4 linked regions of the Anolis sagrei genome follow. The protein of the gene in region 1 purifies or fractionates together with the protein of each later gene. This does not show direct contact. Links are inferred from orthologs where the notes say so. Each region holds a gene or a part of one and is shown in the gene's direction. Other genes may lie near its edges. The genes, in order: BET1, GOSR2, STX7 and GOSR1.

What was found.
Region 2: the proteins of BET1 (region 1) and GOSR2 purify together in Homo sapiens (affinity purification with mass spectrometry; 3 studies listed by BioGRID and IntAct, with this or other methods). This does not show direct contact. The link is inferred for Anolis sagrei from reciprocal best matches to the Homo sapiens genes BET1 and GOSR2.
Region 3: the proteins of BET1 (region 1) and STX7 purify together in Homo sapiens (affinity purification with mass spectrometry; 3 studies listed by BioGRID and IntAct, with this or other methods). This does not show direct contact. The link is inferred for Anolis sagrei from reciprocal best matches to the Homo sapiens genes BET1 and STX7.
Region 4: the proteins of BET1 (region 1) and GOSR1 purify together in Homo sapiens (affinity purification with mass spectrometry; 3 studies listed by BioGRID and IntAct, with this or other methods). This does not show direct contact. The link is inferred for Anolis sagrei from reciprocal best matches to the Homo sapiens genes BET1 and GOSR1.

Annotation. Positions count from the first base shown.
Region 1 is NC_090026.1:101,765,386-101,772,937, forward strand, and holds the start of BET1 (BET1 homolog), read left to right. Parts: upstream 1-4,098; 5' UTR 4,099-4,292; coding exon 4,293-4,311; intron 4,312-7,552. UniProt on the Homo sapiens protein: Required for vesicular transport from the ER to the Golgi complex. Functions as a SNARE involved in the docking process of ER-derived vesicles with the cis-Golgi membrane.
Region 2 is NC_090026.1:45,855,416-45,863,263, reverse strand, and holds the start of GOSR2 (Golgi SNAP receptor complex member 2), read left to right. Parts: upstream 1-4,425; 5' UTR 4,426-4,508; coding exon 4,509-4,537; intron 4,538-7,848. UniProt on the Homo sapiens protein: Involved in transport of proteins from the cis/medial-Golgi to the trans-Golgi network.
Region 3 is NC_090021.1:81,872,435-81,879,808, forward strand, and holds the start of STX7 (syntaxin-7), read left to right. Parts: upstream 1-3,981; 5' UTR 3,982-4,097; intron 4,098-4,674; exon of another isoform or gene 4,675-4,868; intron 4,869-7,374. UniProt on the Homo sapiens protein: May be involved in protein trafficking from the plasma membrane to the early endosome (EE) as well as in homotypic fusion of endocytic organelles. Mediates the endocytic trafficking from early endosomes to late endosomes and lysosomes.
Region 4 is NC_090031.1:28,939,093-28,947,079, forward strand, and holds the start of GOSR1 (Golgi SNAP receptor complex member 1), read left to right. Parts: upstream 1-4,642; 5' UTR 4,643-4,681; coding exon 4,682-4,763; intron 4,764-7,987. UniProt on the Homo sapiens protein: Involved in transport from the ER to the Golgi apparatus as well as in intra-Golgi transport. It belongs to a super-family of proteins called t-SNAREs or soluble NSF (N-ethylmaleimide-sensitive factor) attachment protein receptor.

The DNA of each region.
Region 1 (7,552 bases):
GTCCATAATCTCACCTTGGATTGTTTTACTGTGTTGTTTTAGTGCTGGGCTATGAGTTTGATTTTCTGCTTGGCCATTGAGTGACCTTGGGTGACCAACACACTCTCAGTATTGGAAAATCACATGATCGGGTCACCATAAGCCAGAAATGGCTTTGAAGGCACACAACAATCACAGGAAGGAAATAGATGAGCACTAAAGGGAGCATTTTATCCTAGTGAGCAGACCCCAATGATTTATGTGATTGCAATTAGCAGCTTCTATTGTGCAGGTACAACTGTACCAGGAGCTCCAATTTTGTTTGCTTTGCATTGAATGTTTGTTGTAGTCCTAAGTTTCAGGGACTCTGCAGATAGGTAGCTTCATAGGGCAAGCCACCTGTCAATTATAGTTAGGTTCCCTGGTCCCGCCCCCTTTTGGGGTTTTTGGAGGGAATAGGTGCCATTTTGGGTTCAGTCCATACAGAGAAGCCTTTCATGCAGGACATAAAACCAAGAGCTCCTGTAGAAAGCTTCGTCTTCTACAGCTTGGCCGGGGAGAAAGGTCCCATAGCTTGGCCGAGGATTATACAGCCTTACAGCTCCTTTGCTGAGGGAGTTCAGCCAGCCATCACTGAAACCTGAACTCCTTTTTCCTCTGGAAGTCTACAAAGCTCTGCTTGGTAAGGGTCACTCGTGGAAGCCAAAAGCAGTTGGTACCGGGTGCAGGGGCTCCACGCCAACAGAGGCAAAGACAGACTGACCAGATTAGAAGTTAAGCATTTCCCCATTAATTAGTATACAGTTATGAAGATAGTGCCTGTTCCCTGTGGACAAGATTGAGAGAGCCAATAAACTGTTAAGAAAGCCTTAAAGTACCTGTTTGTTTTCAATAATAAAGAACTTTGTTGAACCTTTAAGCAATCTAAAGATTCTGTCTTAAGGAAATCCAAGGGCCTTTAATCTGAGGCAGCCCCGGCGTCCCATTGGGCACACAGAATTTATGTCCTGTCTACAGTCTTATGCACAGGTCCAGCGTGCAACAGCACATCTATTAATACAGCTGTAAGTAGTTAAATTTATTTATCATATCAGAAGCAAACCAAGGGCACAGTTGTAATGTATTTTTAAAAAATGCAAAGTTTAAAAACTTGGCATTATATTAAATGTCCTTTGGCCAGTAGCTGGCCACTTGGAGTGACTCTGGTGTGGCTATAAGGAGATCCTCCATTGTGCATGTTGCAGTGCTCAAACTGCATTGTAATAGGTGGTCTGTGGTTTGCTCTTCTCCACACTCACATGTTGTGAACTCCACCTTAAAGCCCCATTTCGAAAGACTGGCTCTGATCTTGTCGTACCAGAGCATAGACTTCCAAGTTACCCAGTCTTTTGTGTGTCCAGAAGGGAGAGAGTAGATAAATGAATAGGAGGGAAGCTAAAACCTACACAATTCCCTTTTGGAGAACCGCTAGCACATGTTTCAAGGGAATGTACTCTTTCTTTCATGCTGCTGATATAGTGGATTGTGCTTATAAAAATTCTCAGCCATTATCTAATTATTATGATGGATCACCCATTAACTACCAAGACTTCCTTCTGAAAGCCATCTTTTTTATATAAAAAAACTAACTGACTGCAGATTTAGATTCAAATGCCTAAAAGCCCAGGATAACAGCTTGGTTGCTCACTAATGATGTCAGGCAACATCTGTAAGATCACGGGAGGAAACAGACGGTGAAGAACAGTCATTAAAAACCTTACACTTTAAAAAAAGTGGAAAAAGCCCCAAGAGCAGGCATAAAATGTATATAAATCCATAAAGTGTTTTCTTAAAGGGGACAGCTTCAGCTCTGTACAATTATGTATGCATTTGCTTTATTTTTATCCCGCTTTTCTCAAAGTGGCTCACAATAACTATTTGAAAATGCTAATTAAAACTAACGTGATTGCATTAAAATATAAATATATAATTATTTATTAAAGCTTTCTACCAACCTTAAAACCCCAACCACTCTTTTTAAAAAACCCATCCCTTATCAGTTTATAATTATCACTTTATAAATGCCTAAACTGTTGAGCTGCTAAACCTGATGACCGAAAGGTTGGGGGTTCGAATCCAGGGAATGGAGTGAGCTCTTGCTGTTAGCCACAGCTTCTGCCAATCTAGCAGTTCGAAAACAGGTAACGGTGCTCCATGCAGTCATGCTGGCCACATGACCTTAGGCCAATTGGATTTGTTGCAGATGGCTAGGACGGTTTTAAATTGTGTTATTTTAAATGGTGTATTTTAATATTTAGATAAATGTTTTTTAATGTTTATGTTTTGGACCCAGGCATTGAATGTTTGCCATGTATATGTTGTGCTCCGCTCTGAGTCCCCTTCGGGGTGAGAAGGGCGGAATATAAGTGTTTTAAATAAATAAATAAATAAATACAGACAATTGGTTTAGAAATGGAGGTAAACACTCCCTACACGCAACCCCCAGAGTCAGACACGACTAGACTTAACATCAAGGTGAAACCTTTACCTTTTGCTTAATGGTAGAGGAATACTTTCAGGTTCAACCATGTAAATGGAAGAGCCAAAATCAAACTGGACATATTAATTGCATGGATTAGCTTAGTATTGTATATGCTCTGGTTTTATTTTGTTGTAATTTGTTGTCCGGGCTTGGCCTCATGTAAGCCGCTCCGAGTCCCCATTGGGGAGATGGTGGCGGGGTATAAATAAAGTTTATTATTATTATTATTATTATTATTAGTCTTATGAATGAAATAAGAGTCAATAGGAGTTTCAGAGGGAATTTCTCCAGAAATGTGGACAGCATTGCAGAGATATTTGGAGGTGCTCTTTCTTTCAAAATATACACAGGCAGTCCTCAAGTTAAGAACGAGATGGGTTTGTTCTTAAATTCAATTTGTATGTAAGTTGGAACATTTATAAAGTATAATTCCACGCACGCACACACACACATATATCTATAGAGTTTGTTTTGCTGCCTATGACCTTGTTCAGAAGATTCCACCTCACTTTCTGTCCCCATGATAATTGGATTTTGAAAAATGTGGCAGAATAGAGGTGTAGCATGACTTTCCTGGATCTAGACAGTATACTCCTATTGATGCAGGCCAAAATCCCATTGGCTTTTTTTTTTTTTTTTGCCGCTGCATCACATTGTTGGTTCATGTTTAACTTGTTGTCCACGAGGAATTCAAGATCTTTTTCACACCTACTGCTCTCGAACCACGCGTCCCACATTCTGTATCTTTGCATTTCATTTTTTCTGCCTAAGTGGAGTATCTTGCATTTGTCACTGTTGAACTTCATTTTGTTAGTTTTCGCCAATCGTATCTTTAATTTGTTACGCTCGTTTTGAATTCTGCTCCTGTCTTCTGGAGTATTGGTTGTTGTTGTTCATTTATTCATTCAGTCGCTTCCGACGCTTCGTGACCTCATGGACTTGAGCTCCCTGTTGGCCGTCACCACCCCCATCTCCTTCAAGGTCAAGCCAGTCACTTCAAGGATGCCATCCACCCATCTTGCCCTTGGTCGGCCCCTCTTCCTTTTTCCTTCCATATTCCCCAGCATCATTGTCTTCTCTAAGCTTTCCTGTCTTCTCATGATGTGGCCCAAGTAATTCATACTGGAGTATTGGCTTTGTTGTTCATTCGTTCAGTCGTCTCCGACTCTTTGTGACCTCATGGACCAGCCCACGCCAGAGCTCTCTGCCGGCCGTCACCACCCCCAGCTCCTTCAAGGTCAGTCCAGTCACTTCAAGGATGCCATCCATCCATCTTGTCCTTGGTCGGCCCCTCTTCCTTTTGCCTTCCATTTTCCCCAGCATAATTGTCTTCTCTAGGCTTATTGGCTATCCCTCCCAATTTATAAATCACATAGGCCAAAAAGAATAATAATCCCTTTTCTTTTTTTAGTAAGAGTGGCTTTACTTTGAAGTGAGGATGACAGAAAAGGGAAAAATGAGTTCCCCACTCAAAACAATTCAAGACCCAATCTGTGCTAGCTTGAGTCAGCAGAAGCACTCATTCAAGCAAAGACTACATTACCCAGGAGCATCTGCGGCTGAGGGTTCTCTCTCTCTCTCTTCCTGTTTTCGCTTTGCCGGGACTACGCTACCCAGAAGCTCTCGCGAGAGCCAGCTCATTCAGGAAGTGTTGCGGCGCCGGCTCCAGCGCTGTCGTGGCCTTTGTGGGGTGATCGGAAGGGGAGTTCGTGGTGAGGCCTTGGCCCCTGGGATCCGCGGGAGAAGAGGCCTTTCCCCTCTATCCATCCCTCGCTTTCCTTGGCGAGCCGTCATGAGGAGGGCCGGGCTGGGTGAGTGAGGACGGGGGGCTTCTTTCCCGCCCTGCTTTAAGGGGGGCTGCCAAGGAGAAGAAGGGGAGGGACTCTCCTGAAGGCCCAAGACAAGGCAGGCAGCACCACAGAGAGAGCTTTGGGACACACACACACATACATATAAGTGTCAGATTATATATATCAGGCTTGGGCAAACTTCGTCCCTCCAGGTGTTTTTAACCTCAACTCCCACAATTTCTAACAGTTGGGTTGCTGTAAGTTTTTCTGGCTGTATGGCCATGTTCCAGAAGCATTCTCTCCTGACGTTTCGCCCAGTGATTCTGTCCACGAAGGCCTTTAACAACACAGCCAGCAGGTTGTTATGAATTGTGGGAGTTGAAGTTCAAAACACCTAGAGGGAGGAAGTTTGCCCATGCCTGATATATATGCATAGGTAATGTGTGTTTATATAATATTGATGTAGATAACATCTTCATGTGTGTATGTATACACACACATTATATATACATATACATACACAAATTTATTACCTATATATAAATAATATAATAATACACTTGATTTATAACCTGCTACCATCTCCCCAATGGGGACTCGGTGAAGCTAACATGAGGCCAAGCCCAAAATAATACAGCATAATAAACACACAGTAACAAAATACATCATAACAAAATATAAAATAACAAAACCAACAACATAAAACAGCATATTAAAACCAGACACGGAGGGTGGGCCAAATATGTGAGGTAAAATGTTTAAAAAGTTAAAACCCTGGGTGAGATAGGGATAAAAGTGCATTAGTAGGAAAGGAGCCCAACAGGGAGAAACCATGGGATTTAGCCATTTTAGGGGGTGGGGGGAGGAGAGATGCTTTTTTCTGAGGGCAGCTGTAGACTAAGACAACCAGATGGGTTGAATGGTCATTCTCCAAAAGCACAATGGAAGAGCCAGGTTTTTAGGTCTTTCTTAAAACCAGCTAGGGTGGGGGCTTGCCTGATCTTCTTAGGCAGTGAATTCCAAAAGTGGCGGGGCCTCAGCGGAAAGGCCCTCTCCCTTGTTCCCATAAGACGAGTCTGTGATAGAAGAAGGGGCGAGAGAAGGGCCTCTTCAGCGGATCGAAGAGATCGTGCATGTTTGTGGTAGGAGATGTAGTCACAAAGGTAGGTGGGTCCCAAACCGTTCAGGGCTTTGTAGGTAATAACCTGCACCTTGAATACATATTAAACACACACATTGTATATGAAAACACACTTATGTATCTATATCTATATACACAAACTATCTATCTATTCACATATAGAATCATAGAATTGGAAGAGAGCTCATGGGCCATCCAGTCCAGCCCCCTGCCAAGAAGCATATACATATAGATGCATTCATACATAAATGCATTAACACTTAACTCTTGGAATGATTCCATAAGCTCTGCTTCCAAAAATTCCTTCAAATATCTTGGGAAGATAGGTGAACAAATGTCAGTGTGCTGGAAGAAGTGAAGACTGCCAGCACTGAAGCGATGATTGTCCACCATCAACTCCTTGTCCAAATACCTGATCACCATCTCCCAAAGTGGTTACTGTACTCGGAAGATTGGTGGACAGGAAATGAGATTTAAAGATGGGCTTAAAGCCAGCCTTAAAAACTGTGGTATAGACACTGAGAACTGGGAAGCCCTGGCCCTTGAGCACTCTAACTGGAGGTCAGCTGTGACCAGTAGTGCTGCAGAATTCAAAGAGGTATGAATGAAGGGCGAAAGAGAAATGCGCCAAGAGGAAGGCGTGTCAAGTCAACTCTGACTGGGACCACCTTCCATCTGGAAAATGATGCCCTCACTGTGGAAGAATATGCGGCTCAAGAGTAGGTCTCCACAGCCACCTACAGGCCCACCACTAAGACACAACACTTGGAAGGCCATCATACTTGGACATGAGTGATCATTGATGATGACACTTTTATATATATAAAATACACACACACACATACACACACACCTACATGTGCACACACATTTTATACACACACACATATATATTCACATATATCTACATGTACACAAATAACATATACACACATCTGTATGTACACATACCTTATATATACACACAGAGACAATTTATGTGCAATATATACATACATACATAAACATGCATTATATACACACATCTACATGCACACATACATTATATACATACACACATATTTACATAAACATGCATTACATATTATGTAAACTCATATATGTATGCATAATTTATAATATGCATGTATGCACACACATATATATGTATTTATCTACACACATAAACATACATTATATATACACACATAATTTTATGTATACATAAACACATATATGCATGTGTATGCATGTATTCTCTCTTTTAAGAGAAAAGTAGCATATTAATAAATGTAACTATTGCCATATATACACACATACATATAAAAATTGATTTCCTACCTATCTGAACTACAGTGACCCTCAACCAATAAGCCTAGGTGTAGAAGAAGTCCACAAATAGGGTTTTATATGAAGAGGCTGCAACCTTATTTCACTTCCGGTATTCAAAGCAATTCCTTGCCTTCTTTAAGATATAGATGGGAAACCTTAATCCCTGGGGTATGGTAGCCAGTTCAGATCATCCCAAACCCTGAGGCTTCCATGGCAAAACCTGAAACCTGGGGTGCATTTGGACTGTAGAACTAATGCTGTTTGACATAATTTGAACTGCCATGTCTCATGCTATGGCATCATGGGAGTTGTAGTTTGATCAGGTCTTTAGCCCTCTCTGCCAAAGAGTGCTGGTGCGTCACCAACCAAAAATCTCATGATTCCATCTCATAGTGCCATGGCAATGAAAGTGCTGTCAAATCGCATTAATTCTACAGTGATAATAAACCCTTAGGAAGGCTTTCAGTCAATGTTACTTAATTAGCATATGCTTTCAATGTTTTATTCATAACATTCACAAATTATATTCAAGGTGTCCTCAAAGTATATATAACCTTTAATCACTATTAATAACTAGGATGATGATTTGAAGAATAAGTAAATTTATTTATGTTGAAGAATAAATGTTATTATATTTAATCAGAGGTGATGGGCTCGTAACCTTAATGGAGAAAGTATTGTAACATAACATTTATTTTTCAGTAGAGATATATTTTCTTAGTCTTCAAATAATCACCATTTTGTTCAGGTGTTCATTGTGTAGGTAGAATGATAAAATGAGCTTGCTTAGATACTTAAGCCCAATGTTCT
Region 2 (7,848 bases), about 56 Mb from region 1:
AGTAGTAATTGTGATGTGACCTTGGAGTCCTTGATACATTCATTAGATTCCTATAAATGATGTCATTCTTTCCTTACTGTTTTTCCATCATATGTATAGACTTTATTGACTAAAATACCAAGAACTAAATAAAGGAAGTAAAAGGGTTTGTACTCATGGGAACATCTTGCAACTCTTTCATATTCTGCTCTATAATATCCATAATTCATCCACTAATTTAATATTTAGATAGGGTATTATGACAACATGACGTAGTAGTTTGGGTTACAACTTTGGAGACCAGGGTTCAATTATCTATTTGGTAAACCCACTGGGTGATCTTTGGCAAGCTACTTTCAGCCCAGGAAAATCCCATGATAGGTTCACATTAGGGTTACCACAAGTTGGAAATGACTTGAAGGCACACAACAAGAGCATTGGGGCTGAGCTCGAAGTAATCAATATAAAGTAATATTACTTCAAGACCAGAAAAACAATTTCTCAGGGGCTCTCAAACCTCAGTCAGGGAGGGGAACAGGATGGGAAAAGTTGGTGGGAGAAGGAGGAGCTGACCAAGAAATGTAAAGTTGGTAACATTAGTGGAAAGGTAATTTCCTGCAAATTTGGAAAGTCCTCAGATTGACCTGTAGCTGAATAATTAGAAGCACGTTTCACTTTAATCTATTAGCAGTTGAAGGTCATGCTATGTTATTTCCTCAAAGGCAATTATCTTAAGATTACTGAAATACCAAGAAAGCATTTTGAAATGACTTAGTATTTTAGGCTCTCACAAGACATCGTGCACATAGAAACTGCCTTGCTGGATCAGATCAAAGCTCCACCAAATTTTTAAGAGCATTTTTCAATAGCTGCCAGCCAAATGTCTCTCCAGGAAATCCCAAGCAGAGCATGAAAAGATGGTGACTTGCTCCAACCTCTCAATTCAGGCAAAATGTAGTCTGTACACATGTAAAAATATTCCATATGATATTTATATCCGCCATTCGCAACCGAGTGGCCAATCAGTGTCTCCAAAAGTCTGCCACAATTTTCCCCTTCTCAGTCCCATTTCACACAGTACAAGTATTGCCATTCCTGATCTTTGTTTTCCATTTTTCTTTTGATATCATGGAGGTCCTGAGGGGACCACAGGTGTAGTTACATGGAGAAAAAGACAAATTAATGCATGTAATGTGGATCTCCAATTGCCTCACTTCAAGGATGGAATTGTAATTGTGGCTTAATAAAAGTTACTATCAAAAGTTTCTCTTTATAACACCTCCTCCACAACTTTCTCTTGGTTCCCCTGGAACTATTCATAGCAACCGTTCAGGGATGCTTCTGTCTGGATTAAACCAGGAGGGCTGAGCTTCTAACCTAAAACGATCAAGCAGATCTGGATCACCCAAATAATCAGCCCACTCAAGAAGTATGGATCAGAAGTGTACTAAATGATCATTGGGGTATTGTGTGGTTTCCAGGCTGTATGGCTGTGTTCTAGCAGCCTTTCTCCTGAAGTTTCACCTGCATCTGTGGCTGGCATTTTCAGAAGATCTGATGGTGGTAAAAGAAGTGATCCTCTGAAGATGCCAGACACAGCTGCAGGTGAAACATCGGGAGAAAAGGCTGCTACAACACTACCATAAAGCCTAGAAACCACACAGCATCCCAATGTTAACGGCTGTGAAAGCCTTCGACAATACATTAAATGATCTCTCTCTCTCCCCCCCCCCCCCATTTTTTTATGTTAGACAATAAATGTAGGAAATGATAATTATTTTGCTACCAGCATATGTACCTGGCGTTGCCCGGGTGTCAGAGGGACGTCTCCCCCAGCTTTAATCCTGTCTTTCTCTTTCTTTCCTTTCCTCGTGCCTTTCACTTTCCTTTCTCTTCCTTTCTTGCTTCCCTTTTTCTTTCTTCCTCCCTCCACTTTCTCCCTTCTCCAGCTCTGAGAGAGCCTCTCTTTGTGGCTTTTCCCATCTTCCCTCTCTTCCTGTCATACAAGTCACCTTTCTTTCCCAGTAAAATCACAGAAGGCCTTCTTTAGGGGTCCCTGTGTGTGTGTGTGTGGATGTGTGTGTGAACCATATCTTTCTATCTATATCTATGGCTGGATGGCTCTGTCAGAAGGGATTTAATTATGTTTTCTTACCCTGGTGAAGGGAGGTGGACTGGATGGCCTTAAGGCAGCATTTCTCAACCTGGGGGTTGGGACCCCTGGGGGGGGGGTCACGAGAGGGTGTCGGAAAGGTTGCCAAAGACAACTAGAAAACAAAATATTTTCTGTTTGTCATGGGGGTTCTGTGTTGAATGTTTTGGCCCAATTCTGTCGTTGGTGGGGTTCAGAATGCTCTTTGATTGTAGGTGAATCCCAGTAACTACAACTCCCAAATGCCAAGGTCTATTTCTCCCAAACTCCATCTGTGTTCATATTTGGGCATATGGAATATCCGTGCCAAGTTTGGTCCAGATCCATCATTGTTTGAGTGCACAGTGCTCTCTGGATGCAGGTGAACTACAACTCCCAAACTCAAGGTCAATGGCCACCAAATCCTTCCAGTATTCTCTGTTTGTCACTGGAGTTCTTTGTGCCAATATTGGTTCAATTCCATCATTGGTGGAGTTCAGAATGCTCTTTGATTGTAGGTGAACTATAAATCCCAGCAACCGCAACTCCCAAATGACAAAATCATTTTTTTTTTGAGTGAAGGACATACATTGGGTTGTTAGGTGTCTTGTGTCCAAAATCGGTGTCAATTTGTCCAGTGGTTTTTGAGTTCTGTTAATCCCACAAACGAACATTACATTTTTATTTATATAGATTAGTAATATTACATGTAATATAAATATATAATTATAATATCATATTATTGCTAGTAGTATTATATTGCATTACATTATAATATTATAAATACAAATAGATAATATTATACTATATATATATATATATATATATATATATAATATTATCTATTTGTATTTATAATATTATAATGTAATGCAATGTACAATGTACAATGTACAATGTATAATGTAATGTAATGTACAAGGACCAAGTAGCAACAGTAAGAACTGACCACGGAACAACAGACTCAGGATTGGGAAAGGCGTACGGCAAGGCTGCATACTCTCACCCAACCTTTTTTACTTGTATGCAGAACACATCATGCGATGTGCGGGGGTTGATGAATGCAAGGCTGGGGTGAAAATTGCTGGAAGAAACATTAACAACCTCAGATATGCAGATGACACCATTCTGATGGCCAAAAGCGAGGAGGAGCTGAGGAGCCTTCTAATCAAGGTGAAAGAAGAAAGCGCAAAAGCCGGGTTGCAGCTAAACATCAAAAAAACCAAGATTATGGCAACAAGAATGATTGACAAGTGGAAAATAGGGGGAGAAAATGTGGAGGCCCTGACAGTCTTTGTATTTCTAGGTGCAAAGATTACTGCAGATGCAGACTGTGGCCAGGAAATCAGAAGACGTTTACTTCTTGGGAGGAGAGCAATGTCCAGTCTCGATAAAATAGTAAAGAGTAGAGACATCACACTGGCAACAAAGATCCACATAGTCAAAGCCATGGTATTCCCTGTAGTAACCTACGGATGTGAGAGCTGGACCTTAGGGAAGGCTGAGCGAAGGAAGATCGATGCTTTTGAACTGTGGTGCTGGAGGAAAGTGCTGAGAGTGCCTTGGACTGTGAGAAGATCCAACCAGTCCATCCTCCAGGAAATAAAGCCCGACTGCTCATTGGAGGGAAGGATACTAGAGACAAAGTTGAAGTACTTTGGCCACATCATGAGGAGACAGCAAAGCCTAGAGAAGCCAATTATGCTGGGGAAAGTGGAAGGCAAAAGGAAGAGGGGCCGACCAAGGGCAAGATGGATGGATGGCATCCTTGAAGTGACTGGACTGACCTTGAAGGAGCTGGGGGTGGTGATGGCCGACAGGGAGCTCTGGCGTGGACTGGTCCATGAGGTCACGAAGAGTCGGAGACGACTGAACGAATGAACAACAAAATAATATATAATAAATATATACTAAATAATATTATAATAAATAATATTATACATGCAAGTGCAGACATTCCAAAATCCAAATTCAACAATATTCGGAAAATTGAAAACAATTCTGGTCCCAAGCACTTTGGACAAGAGATGCTCATCATCCTCATCCTCATCATGATTTTATCCTTGTTATTTTCATTTCTATTCCATTTTCAATGGATAAAAAACATACCTAGAGATTTAAAAAATCCTTTAGAGCAGAATAACATAGATTAATTCTGTATGCAAAGCCACCCCACTCCGACCCCCTCCTAAACCAAAGCGCGACTACATTCCTCTTTCTTCTCCTGCTCTGTTTTGCTCTTCTGCTCAGGCAGTGGCATAGACGGCTAGCTTGGGTTGGGCGACGTCACGAGAGGGCCTTTAGCAAACCGGAAACCGGAAGCGCCGGCCTCTGAGAGAGAAGTTGACGTGTTAAAGCGCGCTTGGAGAGTAGAGTCCAGGCTGAGGGACCTGCCACGATGGAAGCGCTTTACCACCAGACGAATAAGTGCGTGCTTTGGGTCTAACCCGTGAAATATCTTGGGATTGGGGAAGGGGAGGGAGAAGGAGAAGGGGGTTGGCAGGGTTTGAGCATCCTTCCTCCTAAGGAGCCCCAAACCCAAAATTCTCCACATGGGGGAGGGCTGGGAGAGTGGCTGATGGGTCAGTGTCTGCAGACTTCCATACACAACATTATTAAAAATGCCGAATATATATATATAAAATGAAGGTAAATGTGTAAGGTGTTTAGGGCTTCTTCTACACTGTCATATAAAATCCAGATTATCTGCTTTGAACAGGATTATATGGCAATGTAGACTCATATAGACCAGCTCAAAGCAAATAATGTGGATTATCTACTTTGACAGTCTGGATTATATGACAGTGTACACTCATATCCTGTTCAAAGCAGATAATGTGGATTCTCTGCTTTGATAATCTGGATTATATGGCAATGTAGACTTGTATCATCCAGTTCAAAGCAGATAATGTGGATTATCTAATTTGACAGTCTGGATTATATATCAATGTAGACTCATGTCCTCCAGATCAAAGAAGATAAAGTGGATTATCTACTTTGACAGTCTGGATTATATGGCAGTGTAGACTCATATCCTGTTCAAAGCAGATAATGTGGATTCTCTGCTTTGATAATTTGGATTATACGGCAGTGTAGACTTGTATCATCTAGTTCAAAGCAGATAATGTGGATTATCTAATTTGACAGTCTGGATTATATATCAATGTAGACTCATATCCAGATCAAAGCAGATAATGTGGATTATCTACTTTTACAGTCTAAATTATATGGCAGTGTAGACTCATATCCAGTTCAAACCAGATAATGTGGATTGTCAGCTTTGATAATCTAGATCAGAAGTCCTCAGACTTTTTAAACAGAGGGCCAGGTCACAGTCCCTCAAACTATTGGAGGGCCAGATTATAATTTGAAAAAAACATGAATGAATTCCTATGCACACTGCACATACCTTATGTGTAGCGCCAAAAACGCTTAGAAATAATACAATAATTAAAATGAAGAACATTTTAAAAAATATAAACTTATTAGTATTTCAGTGGGAAGTGTGGGCCTGTTTTTGGCTGATGAGATAGGATTGTTGTTGTTGTTGTGTGCTTTCAAGTTGTTTCAGATTTAGATTGACCCTGAGCGAGGGCCGGGTAAGTGACCTTGGAGAGCCATATCTGGCCCCTGGGCCTTAGTTTGAGGACCCCTGATCTAGATTATATGGCAGTGTAGACTCATCATCCACTTCAAAGCAGATAATTTGACTTCTCTGCTTTGATAATCTGGATTATGTGGCAGTGTAGATTCATATCCAGTTCAAAGGAGATAATGTGGATTATCTGCTTTGATAATCTGGTTATATGGCAGTGTAAAAGGGGCCCATGACACATACATCAATTTCATGCTTAGATTTGGGTCCCATCCCCCAGTGTATTTCCCAATACATTATGGATGTATATAGGTGAGTCCAGGTATGCCAAAATCTGAAAGTCAAAACACTTCTGATCTCAAAGCATGTTGGATAAGAGATACTCAAGCAGTGTGTAAAGAAATTGGGTAGGTGGCAAGCCACCTGAAGGGTTGCATTTATGGAGAATGGCTACAGCAATTCATGAGACAGTCCCCAAGTTATGAACAAGATATGTTCTACAGGTTTATTCTTAAATTGAATTTGTATGGAAATCAGAACAGTAACTCTGTACATGCACTTTGAATAGCATAGGGAAGGGTTAACACCCCCGTGGTGTTTGTATTGCTGTCTGTGCCCCTGTTCAGAAGATTTCCCCTTACTTTCTGTCCCTGTGATATTTGTTTTTTGAAAGAATTGTCTTGTTGTGGAAACAAGGTTTGGAGATAAAGCTTCAGTAGAAATACCTATTCCCCATTTTCTCTTTGAAGAGTGAATTTCCCTTCCTAGAGGTAGATGTCTCTCATTTCCTGTTGTCTGATCCCCGTTCTTAACTATGAGTTGTATGTAACTTGGATATTTGTAGTTCGGGGATTGTCTGTACATGCAAGTACAGGCATGCCAAAATCTGAAATACATCCAAAATCCCAAGCACTTCTGGTTCCAAGCATTTTGGATAAGGGATACTCAAGCTATCTGTAATAAGTTGGACAGATGGCAGCAGGGTGAACTACCTGAAGGGTTTCATTTACAGAGGATAGTTATAGCGATTAATAAAACGAAAGAAAGAAAGAAAGAAAGAAAGAAATATTTTGTGGCATATGGCGATGGCAGCAGTAGCTATAGAAGTTGTCATAATAATAATACCTGCAATTTATATATCATTACATATCCACAACCCTCTATTATATCCCTGTGAAATAAGTATTACTTCCACATTGCAGGGTGAGGAAGAGAGGCTCAGCAAAATGAAGTTACTGAGGCCCCTTCTGCACTGCCATATAATCCAGATTATCAAAGCAAGTGATCCACATTATCTGCTTTGAACTGGATTATATGTCTACACTGCCATATAATCCAGTTCAAAGCAGATAATCTGGATTTTATATGGCAGTGTAGAAGGGGCCTGAGAAAAAAATGAAGTCCATCTGTTTTGAGTTCCAACTTTCAATGAATGGCCATGTGGAATAGAAGAGGGACTTGGGGCATCTGCAAGGCAATCATATGTGGGTTGGCTGATGATTGAGGACCACGGTTTAATGGCAAAGCACTTGTTTTAAATGTCATGAGAAAATGTTCATGTGACCAGTGGAGTTTCAGAGGATTGCTGCCTTAAGTGGGTTCAGTTGTATCCCTGCTCAGAAACAAATCCCAACCTCATGTTTATTCAGATGTAAGTCTGCATATGTCGGCCCTTCCATTTCATCTGTTACGCCTCTCCTTATATTTACCTCTACGATGTGGCAGCCAAAAATTCAATGAGATTCAAGGCTGCATCAATGAGAGTATAGTGTCTAGATCGAGAGAAGTCATAGACCTACTCTGTTCTGCTTTGGTCAGACTCACCTGGAATATAATGTCCAGTTCTGGCCCCCCACAATTCAGAAAAAATATTAACAAGCTAGAATATGTCCATAGAAGGGCAACCAAAATTGGAAAGCAAGCCCTAGAGGGAGGAGCTTGAGCTGGATATGTTTAGCTTGGAGAAAAGAAGGCAGGGAGGGGACATGATAGACATGTTTCAATATTTGAAAGGATGTCACATTGAAAAAGGGGCAGGCTTGGATGCTCTGGAGGACACTAGGATATAAAACAATAGATACAATTTGCAGATGAGATTCCTTCTAAATATTAGGAAGAACTTTGAAGGTTACATCTGTTCACC
Region 3 (7,374 bases), on another chromosome or scaffold:
CGTGCTTTTGCCGTTGAGGCCTACTTTTCGAGCAGATTTGGAGTGGCCAGCCCGCTCTCTAGATTTGGCCCCTTGTGATTTTTTTCTATGGGGTTTTTTGAAATCCCGTGTTTATGTGAACCATCCAAGGACCATACAAGATTTGAAGACCAACATCCAGGAAGAAATTGCCAACATAACGCCTGCTATTAAATCATGACAAACGCCAGAAATCATTTTACTCAGTTTAGTGTATGGAGAATGGGGGATGTCACCTACCTAATTTGATCTTCAAAACTACGTAAAACAAAACTTTAGGTAAGCGCCTACATTATAAAAATAAAAATTTCTGATTCATACAATGGGTTTGATTAAGTTTTGAAAAAAGGAAGTTATGCTGCCTCACCCTGTAGATACGACAAATGAATTACAATTGAAATTTTGCACAGCAGAGAGAGAGAGAGAGAGAGAGAGAGAGAGGTGTGCCTTCAAATTACCTATCACACAAATTGCATATTTTCTCAAGCAAGAAATACTCAAAGGTGGTTTTGCCAGTTCTTTCCTTTAAAACAGTAGCTCCCAACCTGTGATCTGTGCACCACCAGTGGTCCGCAAGAACAGAAATATGATCCACAGCCTCACTGTTAGTACACCAGGTTTTTGTAAGTCTTTCAGTATCTATGGCCATGTTCCAGAAGCATTCTCTCCTGACGTTTCATCGGCATCTACGGTTGTGAGGTCCTCAGAGACCCCACAACCTGGGAGGGTGCCTGCCATAGATGCAGGCAAAACATTAGGAGAGAATGATTCTGGAGCATGACCATACAGCCTGAAAAAACCTTATAAAAACCCAGTGATTCCGGCCATGAAAGCCTTTGACAATACATTGTTACTACACCGTTGCAATGAGAGTGACTGATATCGCAAAACCCTCTTATAGTGCCAAGGCTTATTAAATATGGTTTTCTATGTGTCATGCCCCAGCATGCATCTGTGATACTATGTTTGCTTTGTAGTTTGGCCCACTTGACTTTCTATAGTCAGAATACTGTGGGTGAGCAAATGGCGACTACTGGATGGCATATTTATTTATTATTTATTTGCTTTATTTCTATACCGCATTTTTCAGCCCTTAACAGGCGACTCAATGCGGTTTACATGGTACAATTATCAAACAGTGTCAGTGCAATTAAAACATAACAATGCAACAAACAGGATCAACAGCATCAATCCACAACAGTTAACAATCAACAAGACAGATCAACAAAACAGACATAACATAACACCTCAGTTGAAATCAGATCCGTTCTCATAATCCTTGTGCCATTCCTATGTTCCATTTACCGTCTTCCTATGATTGGTTGCACTGCTTAACCAAACGCTTGTTCATAAAGCCAGGTCTTAACCATTCTCCGAAACGTCAGCAGCGAAGGTGCCTGTCTGATGTCTGCCGGTAGGGCATTCCATAGCCGAGGGGCCACCACTGAGAAGGCCCTGTCTCTCGTCCCCGCCAAGCGCGCCTGTAACGCAGGCGGGATCGAGAGCAGGGCCTCCCCAGACGATCTTAATGTTCTGGTCGGCATACGTTCAGACGATCTTAATGTTCAGCATATGTTCTGTATCAGAAACTAGAACTGATGGGGTCTATCCAATGCGATCTAAAGTTGACCAAAACAGATTCATAACCCTTTTAATACTAATGTTGAAAGGTGGATCCTGGTCAAAGTGGTCCCAGGTAAAAAAAAAAAAGGTTGGGAACCACTGATCTAAACCCTCTGAGGCACGGATACCATTGTTTTCCATAGGAAGGAGTAATCATGCATTTCTATAAATAGGGATGGCAGCTCTCTGCTAAGTACAATATTATAACTGGAACAAACCACTAAAGGAAAACTACCCTTCCATCTATTCTCCAATGCCACTATTATGCTATATTATGCTGTAATATTTTGTAAAAAAAATTCAAGGGGAGGAGTTATTATGCTCTTCCCTAAAGAGGGATGACAGCTCGCTGCTAAGGACAGAATGGAAAGAGATTCTGGCAGGTTTGCATGAAGAAAAAAAGCTGGGAGTGGAGACATATCATTGTCTAAGTGTGATGCGGAAGCATTGCCTCCGAAAGATCCTACAAATCTCATGGGAAGACAGGTGGACAAATGTCAGTGTGCTGGAAGAAGCAAAAACCACCAGCATTGAGGTGATGGTCCTCCGCCATCAACTCCACTGGACCCGCCATTGTTCGAATGTCTGACCACCATCTCCCAAAGCAGTTGCTCTACTCCAAACTCAAGAATGGAAAACAGAATGAGCGTGGGCAGGAAAAGAGATTTAAAGATGGGCTCAAAGCCAACCTTAAAACCTTGGTAATAGTATGAAAGCTGGGTCGGGAAGCTCTGAGCCTTACGCTGTTTCCGCTTCGCTCCTGTTTGCACAATGCAGAACGGAACACAGATATAGAAGGAATGTAAGAATTCTTTAATGGTAAAGCCCTAACCCTAAACCCGGCCCTTAACCCTTATCCTAACCCAAACCCCAATCCTAACCCATCCTAACCTTACCCAGAGGTGGCCCTAAATAATTTTCAACGGTAAGCAAACAGTATTTTTGCCCCCCCCCCCCAACCAATCAGATATATATTTTCTGTTCGTCGTGGGAGTTCTGTGTGCCATATTTGGTTCAATTCCATTATTGGTGGAGTTCAGAATGCTCTTTGATTTTAGGTGAACTATACATCCCAGTAACTACAACCCACATATGTCAAGGTCCATTTCCTCCCAAGAGCGCCTCAAGAGCACCCCTGGGCAAAATCAACTATACTGTAAATGCTTACTTTGCGTAATGGGTTGAGCCACCCCTGTCCTTACCCTAAACCTAAGCCTAATTCTAACCCAAACCCTAAACCTTAATCCTAACCCTCCCCTCCTTTCTATCCTTCCACCAAATTAAAGTATGTTCCCGCCCTCAGTGTGCCGCTCTCCCCTTCCCTTATTCACAACCGCTATTGCGGAATGTGCGTAACGCTCGGCACTTCCGGACCTAGCTATCATACTATCACCACAAACTCTGGCATAGACAGTGAGAAGTGGGAAGCCCTGGCCCTTGAGCGCTCCAGCTGGAGCTCAGCTGTGACCAGCAGTGCTGTAGAATTTGAAGAGGCACACATGGAGGGCAAAAGAGAGAAACGTGCCAAGAGGAAGGTGCATCAAGCCAACCCCGACCGGGACTGCCTTCCACCTGGAAACCAATGCCCTCACTGTGGGAGAAGATGCAGATCAAGATTAGGGCTCCATAGTTACCTACGGACCCACCGTCAGTACACCGATATTGGAAGACAATCCTACTCGGACTAGGAAGGATCGCCTAAGTAAGTAAGTAAGTAAGTCTCAAGACTGCTGTATGATTTTTTTTTTTTTGTCGCATCAGGAGCGACCTGAGAAACTGCAAGTGGCTTCTGGTGTGAGAGAATTTGCCGTCTGCAAGGACGGTTGCGCAGGGGACCGGCCAATTTGATGTTTTTATCATCCTTGTGGGAGGCTTTGCTCATGTCCCCGCATGGAGCTGATAGAGGGAGCTCATGCGCCTCTCCCCGGATTCGAACCTGCAACCTGTCGGACTTCAGTCCTGCCAGCACAGGGGTTTAACCCACTGCGCCACCGGGGGCTCTGCTGTCTGATAAGGTCCTTGGAGGCGTTTATGAGGCAGTCCTCCGATTAGTGCCTAATCACACTAGGGCTGAAAACAGAGCACGCATCCCATCTGAAATCCTGTGCCTGCCTTCTTTCCCAGAGAATTCTGGGGCTTGTAGTTTAGTGAGGCTGGCTGAGCATTTTAAAGGTCCCTCCTCTGAACTACAAGCCCCAAGAGGAAGCCACAGGACTTCAGACGGTGAAAAGAAGGCACTGCACGATCCCTCCAATGGCGACGCGGCGCTGTGTAGAGTCAGCGGAAAGGCCGGGAGTGGGCGGGGCCAGGCAGCGCCCCTCCCTTTGGTGCGGCAGCGAGTGGGCGGAGCTTGGCCGAGGGGCGTGGTCACCCGGGCTGATCAGCTGAGCGCCAGAGAGCTGGAGCCCGGAACCCGGCTCGCCCGATGGGGACGCGGTGCTGAGCGGGGCTGAGAGGTAAGGGCGGCCTCCCTCCCTCCCTCCCTCCCGCTTGCCCGAATGCAGCTCTGGCAGAGACTCCTCTCTCCCTTGTTTGTTGGAATGACTGCTTGCCTGCCTAGAGGGGGCGGAGGAGGGAGGCGCCAGCCCGCATTCCTCCTTCCTTCCTTCCTTCCTTCCTTCCTTCCTTCCTTCCTTCCTTCCTTCCTTCCCTTCCCTTCCCTTCCCTTCCCTTCCCTTCCCTTCCCTCCTTCCGTCTTTTCCCCTCTCCCCCTTATTTCTGTCTCTCTTTCCCCTCCCCTCTTCCCTCCTTTCTTTCCTTCCTTTCCTCTCCCTCCTTTGCTTCCTTCCCCGCCCTTTCCTTCTTCTTCCCTTTCCTCTTCTCCTTCCTGCCTTTCCTCTGCAGCAACACGCCCCTCCCTGTGTGTTTGTGTGCGAATGGTGGAGCCTGCCCAGGGATGGGAGGGTGGCACATGATGCCAGCCATGGAAAACAAGGCTTCCTTTCTGGTGTCTCCTCCCTCTCCTCCTGGGTGGAGCCATCATGTGACCGTGATGAGAAGGAATCACGGCTTCTCCACGGAGGCACCCCGCAACCCCGTCGGATTAAGGGGAATGGCATTAGGCCGGGGAGAATGCGTGTCTTTGCAGGCGTGACACGCTCAGAGGGAGCAATGCAGCCGGGACACGTGATGGTGGCGTGTGGGCAGCCACTGCTTCCACTTGGGCATTCCTTCTGGGGGGAATCGCCTCAGGAGGGGCGCGGATTGTGTTGTTGTTGTTATTGGGCGTGTGTAGGCTTCCTTACATCCTTCTCTTCTGTGTTTTGGATTTCCATTCTTTGTGGATGAATGTAACTGGCTAATAATAAGTACTAGTGTACCTGCCAGGCGTTGCTGTGGCCAACCTTCCCTCCCTCTTTCTTTCTTTCCTTCCTTCCCTTTTTTTCCTTTCCTTCTCTCCTTCCTTCATTCTCAATCTCTTTCCTTCTTTCCCCCTTTTTATTTCCCTTCTTTTTTCTCTTTCTTCCTTCACTACCTCTTTCTCTCCTTCACTCTTTGCCTCCATCCTTCTCTCTTCCCCCCCCCCTTTCTTTCTCTCCTTTCTTCCCTCCCTCTTTCCTTCCTTCCTTTTTTCCTGTCCTTCCTTCCTTCTCTACTTCTTGCTTGGGAAGCGAGCCTTGCAGGGAGTCATTTTTGGTCATGTGCTGTAATGTGTTTTTTTGTTGGGGTGGGGGTGGGGGTTAAGTCCTTTCCACTGTGTGTTTTTTGTTTTGTTTTTAGGAGTGATGGTCACTCGTTGGCCTGATAGGTGTATTGTGTCCAAATTTGATGTCAATTCATCCAGTGGTTTTTGCATTATGTTAATCCCACAAACTATCATTACATTTTTATTTATATAGATTATTGGGTTGCTGTGAGTTTTCTGGGCTGTATAGCCATGTTCCAGAGGTATTCTTTCCTGACGTTTTGCCAACATCAATGGCAGCTCACAACCTCTGAGGATGCCTGCCATAGATGTAGGTGAAATGTCAGGAGAGAATGCTTCTGAGACCTGGCCATACAGCCCAGAAAACTCACAGTGACCCAGTGATTCCAGCCATGAAAGCCTTCAATAACACAATAATTTATTTATTTATTTAGAGCATTTCTATCCCGTCCTTCTCAACCTCCAAAGAGGGACTCAGGACGCCTTCCAACAGGCCACTATTTAGTGCTGACACAACAAAACATAGCATAAAATACAGTTATATACATTAAACAATTATAAATATACATTAGAAAGTTCAAGTGAAGATCGTCGTAATATAATACAATAATTATTATATTTTATACCGTGTTTTCCTCTCTTAAATGAGACTCAAAACAGCCCACAACATTTAAAATAGTACATTGATTATCCCAGGCCTCTTCTACACTGCCAGGTAATCCACATTATGTGCTTTGAACTAGATTTATTGATATTTATCATGTCACAAGTGAATTGAGGGCACAATTGAAATGTATTTAAAAGACAAACAAAGTTAAAAACTTGGCATTATGCTAAATGTCCTTTCACCAGTAGCTGGCCACTTGGAGTACTTCTGGTGTCACTATAAGAACATCCTACATCATGCATGTGGCAGGGCTCAGGTTGCTTTGTACTAAGTGGTCTGTGGTTTTCTCTCCTCCACACTTGCATGTCGTGGACTCACTCCCATATAATCCAGTTCAAAGCAGATAATCTGGATTTTATATGGCCGTGAAGAAGGTGCTCCAGTGATATAGAATCATAGGCTTGGAAGAGACCTCAGGGACCATCCAGTCCAATCTTGCCATGCAGGAAAACATAATCAAAGCACCCCCAACAGATCCCCATCCAGAGAAGGAGACTATATTATTGATTGTGATTCAGTATTTTATGGTAAATATGTATAAAACGGTTTGCCACGTGTTTTCTCTTTTTCCTGTAAGAAAATAAGGGGTCAGGAGTGATTGCTTTTTAGAGATGAATGAAGTACACTTTGAGCATCCCTTATCTGGAATTTCAGAATCTGAAATGCTCTACAATTGGTCATGTAGGTGTCTGGGATAGTGACACCTTTGATTTCTTCAGTGTACACAAACTTTGTTTTAGTGCATAAAAATATTTAAAATATTGTTTAAAGTTACCTTCAGGCTGTGTGTATAAGGCAGGTATGGGCAAACTTCAGCCCTCCCTCCAGGTGTTTTAGACTTCAACTCCCACAATTCCTAACAGCCTACCAGCGGTTAGGAATTGTGGGAGTTGAAGTCCAAAACACCTGCCTAGAGGGCTGAAGTTTGCCCATACCTGGTATAAGGTATATATAAAACATAAATGAATTTAGCATTTAGGCATGGATCTCATTTCTGAGAGATCTCATGTATGTGTGTGCAAATCCAAAAAATCCAAAGCTCTTCTTGTCCTGAGCATCTCAGATATGGGATGCTCAACCTGCACTTATCTGCACACCACATAGTTAATATGGATATTTCTGCCACATAATAATGACAGTTTTTAGAAGAACATGGGACAAATTGAAACAAGATAAACTGGCAGCGAATATTATTTTTGGTGAGTATGTGTTCCCTCCAGTCCTGAGTTGAGCTGTTGGAACACAGTATGACTGCTAGGTTGCTATTCCAGTCAAAACTGCCTTGAGGGCTTCTCATAGGCATTTGGTTGTCAATTCTGTAGATAGCCCTTATATTCTTAAGTTGAGGGCGAAAGAGTGAAGACAAAGTCACCTCTTTCCTCAGCAGTTATTCTTTATCAGCATGCAACATACAGAGGCT
Region 4 (7,987 bases), on another chromosome or scaffold:
CCCTATTATCCGACATTTCGTTTATCCGACGTTCTGCCAGCCTGTTTATATCGGATAAGTGAGACTCTACTGTACTAAATTTGCAAAATTTAGTAGTCGTTCTCTCGGACTTTTTGCTTCCAATGATTGATCTGACATGAGAATAACAGTTTCAGTTCCTCCCCACTGAATCCTTTTCTGTCTTGCTCTTAACTTGCTTTCAAGGAGCTTTTTCTTCATCCCGATCCTAAGCAGCCCTTCTCTTCTGGGAAGCGTTTGCCAGAGATGTCTATTTTTGTAAAGGGAACCAGGCCTGGTGTAAAAGCCTTCTCACTGACGGCCGTCTTTCTTTTCATTTTATGTTGGGGTCCGTGCCTTTTCCAAAGCAAACGCCTCGTTTTGTGGCTCTCTTTCTGCCCAAGCCGAGTGCATTTGGCATGTGTGCGCGCGTGGGTGTGTTTTTTTAACATGTACACTGAGCTCTAATCTGTATAAAGCTATTTTATGAGGTCTCCCCTCCCTGTGTCTGGTTTGCTTCGTTCGTGATGGCTTCCTTTGAGGCTGAGAGAGTGTGCCTTGGCATTTAAGTCATTAAACCTTATGTGAGGCGCACTTTTTGTTGCCGCTCTCCAAAGTGCACAAAAACCTCCATGTTCATTATGTTTACATCATGTAAGCGCTTCTACACGGAGACAAATATGCACATGGAGGATACCCTTTTGGATTTGGAGTACATCCTTAGATCCCCAGGAAATGGGACCTAAAAAGGAGATTATTCATATACACCTGAATTCTTCTTTGTGGAGTCTGTGAAAGACACACATATGGGTCAGATATGGGTTATCTTCTGCGCATGCACAGCTGATAACCCATATGTGATTCATATGAGCAAATTCACAGACTACCACTAAAAAAAAATACAGAGTTACAGGTAAGCAACTCATTAGTCCATGGTTTACACAATATTTCTAATAATTTTGAGCAGGAAGCAATGTTTGAGTATATTGAACTTCTATAATGGAACCTACATATAGAACCTATATTTATATAAGTATATATAGATCTATAGAGAGAGAGAAACTATATAACTTCTATACATTTATAATATGTGTGTGTGTGTGTGTGTGGAACCTACACATAGAACCTATATCTAGGTATATATATAGAGAGAGGAGAGAAACTATATATAACCTATATACATTTATAATAGTGTTTGTATATAACACAGACACATATATAATGTGTGTGTGTGTGTGTGTGTGCACGTATGGAACCTACACATAGAACTTATATCTGTATAGGGGGGTGTGTGTGTGTGTGTATGAGGGGGGGGAGGAAACTATATATCCTGTATACATTTATAATAGTGTTTGTATATAACAGACATATAAGCTATATATATTGTGTATATACATATGTAACCCCTCTCCCTCTTTCTCTCTCTCTCTATATATAAATATAACCTGCAAACATAATTCCCATACACATGTATATGAAACCATATATCTATATATAACCTGTAAACAAGTATAATAGTTGTTTGTATATAGACAGAACCTACATATATTTATATATAACATTATGCATACATAATAGACTTATATATAACATTATGCATACACTATTATATGTGGGTATATATATGTAACACACACGCATATATATACATATATATACACACACACACCTGTATACTCTCTCTTTCCCTCCCAATATATATGTGTGTACGATATATACACACACACACACACATACATAGATGAAACTCATCTGTATATGGAACCTATACACACACACATATGTAACTAGTCTGTGTGTGTAGAACCTATATACCTATATATAGAAATATACATATATAATAGATTTTCAGCTTCGAACATATGGATCTCTGGGTGGAGGTGATTCCTTCAAGTTGTCATGGACAGATCACTTTCCGGTCAAGGCTAGTATCACAGCTTCAACCTTCCCCTGCAGAGATGGAGGACCTACTAAAAGGGACAGCCTTCAAAGGCTAATTGATCCTTTGAGATTCCAAGAGGTTTTTAGGGGTTCTGTGGCTGGCATCACCATTGACAATCCTGTTGAAACCCTGGTCAATAAGTGGAACCAAATCTAACCAGGGTTACTGACACGATTGCTTCCAAACCTCTCTGATCATTTACAAATCAGGCTTTCTGGTATACAGAGATCCTTGGGAAAATGAAAGGGGAAAGACATCGACTTGTTTTATGCAGCAAAACACTGTCTAGAGGGCAACTCTGCTCCTATAAGTTGGCAATACTTACAGCAAAACAAACTGTAAGGTTTAACTTGGGTGCTCTCCCTTCTATACTCTTTATTTGAACCTTCAGTATGTGATGCTTTTCATGACCATTTCACAGTGAAAAATGTCTCATATAAGAGTTGATTTTGATGCTGTCATTGGAGAGAGGCCAACGATGAGGTGTCGAGCAACTCTGTGAGTGGGATTACACTGGATCAGTCTCAATTGTTGAGTACAAAGGTGTGGACAATTCGCTTCCTTGATCGCTGCCCATCTTGGCTGCTGAAAAAAAAAACCCTCCCAGACCACTCTCTAAAACAGTGTTTCTCAACCTTCTTAATGGCACGACCCCTTAATACAGTTCTTCATGTTGTAGTGACCACCCAACCATAACATCATTTTTGTTCCTACGTCATAACTGTAATTTTGCTACTGTTCAGAATCGTCATGTAAATATCTGACATGCAGGATGCATTTTAATTCACTGGACCAAATTTGGCACAAATACCCGATACACCCACATTTGAATACTGGTGGGGTTTGGAGGGGATTGATTTTGTTATTTGGGAGTTGTAGTTGTTAGGATTTATACTTCACCCACAACCAAAGTGCATTCTGAACTCCACCAATGATGGAATTGAACCAAACATGGTACACAGAACTCCCATGACCAACAGAAAATACTGGAAGGGCTTGGTGGGCATTGACCTTGAGTTTTGGAGTTGTAGTTCACCTACGTCCAGAGAGCAATGTAGACTCAAACAATGATGGATCTGGACAAAACTTAGCACGAATACTCAATATGCCCAAATGCGAATACTGGTGGAGTTTGGGGAAATTGACCTTAACATTTGGGAGTTATAGTTGCCGGGATTTATAGTGCACCTACAATCAAAGAGCATTCTGAACTCCACCAATGGTAGAATTGGGCCAAACTTCCCACACAAAACCCCCATGACCAAGAGAAAACACTGTTTTCTGATGGTCTTTGGCGATCCCTCTGACACCCCCTTGTGACCCCCCCAGAGTATATATGTAAACTAATATTTATATGCATGTATTTTATTTATTTACGACATTTATATGCCACCCTTCTCTCCCCAAAGGGGACTCAGAGCAGTTTAGAAGCAAAATGTAAATACAATATATTCTATTATTTCCATAGCATAATATTAATATTATATATTACTATATTGTACTATAACATTATACTATAATATTATTAGGGTATTGATCGTGTCAATAACCTATATATATATACACACACACATATATATATAATCATATATAGATGTATATGTATGTATATGTAAATAAATAAATAAATGTATATATGTGAATATATATGTGTATATATGTATACACACATACATGTTACTTACTTACTTAGGCGATCCCTCGTTGGACGAGTAAGATGGTCTTCCATCATGGGTTTCCTTGTGGGTCCGTATGTGGCTGTGGAGCCCTATTCTTGCTCTACATCTTCTCCCACAGTGAGGGCATTGGTTTCCAGGTGGAAGGCGGTCCCAGTTGGGGTTGGCTTGACGCGCCTTCCTCCTGGCACATTTCTCTCTTTCACCCTCCACTCCTGCCTCCTCGAATTCTGCAGCACTGCTGGTCACAGCTGACCTCCATCTGGAGCGCTCAATGGCCAGGGCTTCCCAGTTCTCAGTGTCTATGCCAGAGTTTTTAAGGTTGGCTTTGAGCCCATCTTTACATTTCTTTTCCTGCCCATCTTTAAATCTCATACATGTACATACATATACACATATGTATATGTAAATATATAATAAATGTATGTATGTGTATATATGTGAATGTATATATGTATACACACATAAAGGTACATACATATACACACATATACATATGTATGTATATGTAAATGTATGTATGTATATGTAAAACCCCAAACATATACATACATATGTATAAGTATGTATACGTAAATAAATAATAAATGTATGTATGTGTATATGTGTGAATGGATATGTGCATATATGTATACACACATGTACATACACATGCACATATACATATGCATGTATATGTAAATAAATAAATAAATGTATGTATATGTATATATGTGTATGTATATGTGTATATATGCATACACACATACCTGTACATACATATACACACATGTACATATAAACACGCACACTTATATAAACACATACATATGCATACACATATACCGTATACACATATATACACATATCCGTATACATATATATATAGTCGAGCCATATATCTTGCTTTCAATTAAGAAAGCTAAAAGGGAAACAATTGGGTTGGGCCTGGCCTCCAGCCGCTAGGTGTCGCTGCGGAATGTTTGGATGCCGGCCGCTCTAGCGCGCCCTCTATGCTCCCTTAGAATAGAAGCCTAGCCTCCGACCGGAAGGAAGCTGCGGGCGGCGCTCTGGCCGTACTCGCTCTATGGCGCGGCTGACGTTGGACACAACAAAGATGGCGGCGGGAGGCGGAGGCGGTAGCAGTGGGAGCAGCAACTACTGGGAAGGTGAGCGGGCTGTTGGGGGGAAGGCCCCGTTTGGGGAGCGGGGAACGAGGGGAGGCCGAGGAAGGAGGCAGGCGGGAGAGCGCCAAGGAGCCTTGCCTTGGCACCGAAGCCCCTCCAAAGGCCTCGAAGCCTTTCCATTGGCACTGGACCCCATAGAAATGCCCAAAACTCCACTCAGAGAAGGCCGACAGTCCTTCCTTTGGCACTCAACTCCTTCAAAAGGCCCTGAAACCCCCAAACAGGTGCTGAAGACACTTCCTTTGGCACTAGGCCCCTTCAGAAGGTCCTGAAATTACCAAAATAGGGGCTACAGACCCTTGCATTGGCACTAAACCCCATATAAAAGCCATACAAAGATGACTTTTCCCCCTGACATTAAGTCCAGTCATGTCTGACTCTGGGGGGTGGTGCTCACCTCCATTTCTAAACCAAAGAGCCGGCGTTGTCCATAGACACCTCCAAGGTCATGTGGCCATGGGCATGACTGCATGCAGCGCCGTTACCTTCGCACCAGAGCAGTACCTATTGATCTACTCACATTTGCATGTTTTCGAACTGCTAGGTTGGCAGAAGCTAGGGCTGACACCGGATGCTCACGCCGCTCCCTGGAATCAAACCTGCAACCTTTCTGTCAACAAGCTCAGCAGCTCAGCGCTTTAACCCACTACGCCACTGGGGTGCCATAAACCCCGCTAAATGAATGCTAAAAGTCTTACGCCCTTCCCATGGACATTAGATCAGCTCCTTCGCTAATGGTGTTTCGAAGAAAACTAAAAACCTGGCTGTTTGAACAGGCATTCGGATAAGCAGCACAATGAATATGATGAATATAGGAACGGAATTATAGCTGACGAATTGGATCACGACTCTAGTTATGAGACGTTAATGTGTTGTTATTAATATGTCATTACTTTGTATGCTATGCTGTTAATGGTTTTTAAATTGTATGTTGTTATGATTGACTTTTGCTCTTGTGAACCGCGTTGAGTCGCCTACGGGCTGAGAAACAAAGCAAAGTAAATAAATAAATAAATTAGCACTACACCCATTCAGAAGGCCCAGAAATCCCCAAACAGGTGCTTAAGACACTTCCATTGGCACTAGGCCCCTTCAGAAGGTCCTGAAACTCCCTACATGGAGGCTACAGAGCCTTGCATTGGCACTGAACCCCATAGAAATGCATTAAACCCTGCTAAATGAATGCTAAAAGTCCTTACATTGGCACTAGACTCATTCAGAAGACCCGGCAACCATCAGACAAGTGCCACAAACCATACTCCGGACTCCGGACCCGAAAATTTCCATCAGTGCCTTGAGGCTGTTACTGGATGGTTGCGTGAGGGTGAATCCAGCGAAGAGGGAGATCCTTTGGCTGGGCCGTCTGGGTGGGAGATCCAGCTGCCTACCCTGGATGGCGAGACACTACGTCTGTCACCTTCTGTAAAAAGCCTTGGTGTCTTATTGGACCCTCTGCTCACAATGGAGGCCCAGGTCTCTGCTGTGAGCAGATCTGCGTTTTTCCACCTATGTCAGGCTAGGCAACTGGCTCCCTTCCTATTTAGGAACGACCTGGTTATGGCGATCCAGGCGACGGTCATCTCGAGGCTTGACTACTGTAACGCCCTCTACATTGGCCTTCCTTCGTCAGTGATCCAAAAACTGAAGCTGGTGCAAAATGCGACGGCTCGTCTTCTCGCCAGGGTGCCAGTGAGGTGTCGTATCACCCCAATTCTACAACAGCTGCACTGGCTTCCGATTGAGTACTGGATTACTTTCAAGGTGCTGGTACTAACCTTTAAGGCCTTATATGGTCTGGGGCCGGCATACCTGAGGGCCCGCTTATCCCCCTACCAACCCCAGAGATTACTTTGGTCCGAGGACCAAAATTTGCTTGAAGTCCCCAACATCCGGACTTATCATCTGTCCTCTACTAGGCAGAGAGCCTTCTCGATTGTGGCCCCTTATTTATGGAATGCCTTGCCAGTTGAAACCCGAACCATCCTAGAGCTACTTACTTTTCGGAAAGCCTGTAAAACCTTTCTTTTCCAACAAGTTTTCGATGGGTGAATAACTCGGGACTATGTCGGTTCTCGTTTTTATTGTATTTTAAAGTTGGTTGTATTGTTTTAATCTACTGCTGTAAACCGCTCCGAGCCAAATTAGGAGTGGCAGTATACAAGTCAAAGAAATGAAATGAAATGAAAACCTTACATTGGCATTAAAACCCCATTAGAAGGCCTTAAACCCCCTTCAACTCATGCTGATGATGCTTTTATTGGCACCTAGACCAATATTTAATGTTATTTAAAACATTTATATTCTGTCCATAACACCCCCAAACAGGTGATAAAGACCCCTTCAAAAGGCCCTAACCCCCCCCCCCATTTATTTATTTATTTATTTATTTACAACATTTATATGCCGCCCTTCTCACCCTGAAGGGGACTCAGATCAGCTTACAAGGTATATATACATACAATATTATATTATTAACATAGTCCAAACGGATCTCTCCCTATGAACCATCGTGGAGATTAAGATCCTCTGGGGAGGCCCTGCTTTCCATCCCGCAATTGTCACAGGCACCATTGGTGGGGAAGAGACAAGGCCTTCTCGGTGATTGCTCCCCGGCTATGGAACTCCCTTCCTGGTGGGACCAAGCTTTCGGGACAGGGCAATAAAGCAGCAATAGGAAAGATTACCAGGCCAATTAGATTTGACGTGGATGACGTCAAAATAAATGATGTATTTTAATATTTTGATAAATGTTTTTAATGTTTATGTACGTATATAAGAATTGGTGTCCCGGCATTGAATGTTTGCCGTATATATGCTGTGCTCCGCCCTGAGTCCCCTTCGGGGTGAGAAGGGCGGAATATAAATGTTTTAAATAAATAAATAAATAGTACAATATCAGTATTAAATATTACTATATTGTACTATACCATTATATTGTAATATTATTAGTAATATTACATGTAATATAAATATATAATTATAATATGGTATTATTAGTAGTAGTAGTAATAGTAGTAGTATATTGCATTACATTATAATATTATAAATATATGTATATACGATATATTATATTATATTATTCGAATAGCACAGGAGACAAGGTGGAACTATTCCCTGACCCCCTCTCTCTTCACTCTGGCCCATATAAATTGGGGGTTATAAACCCTTGCATTGGCACTGAGCCCCATATAAATGCCATAAGCCCC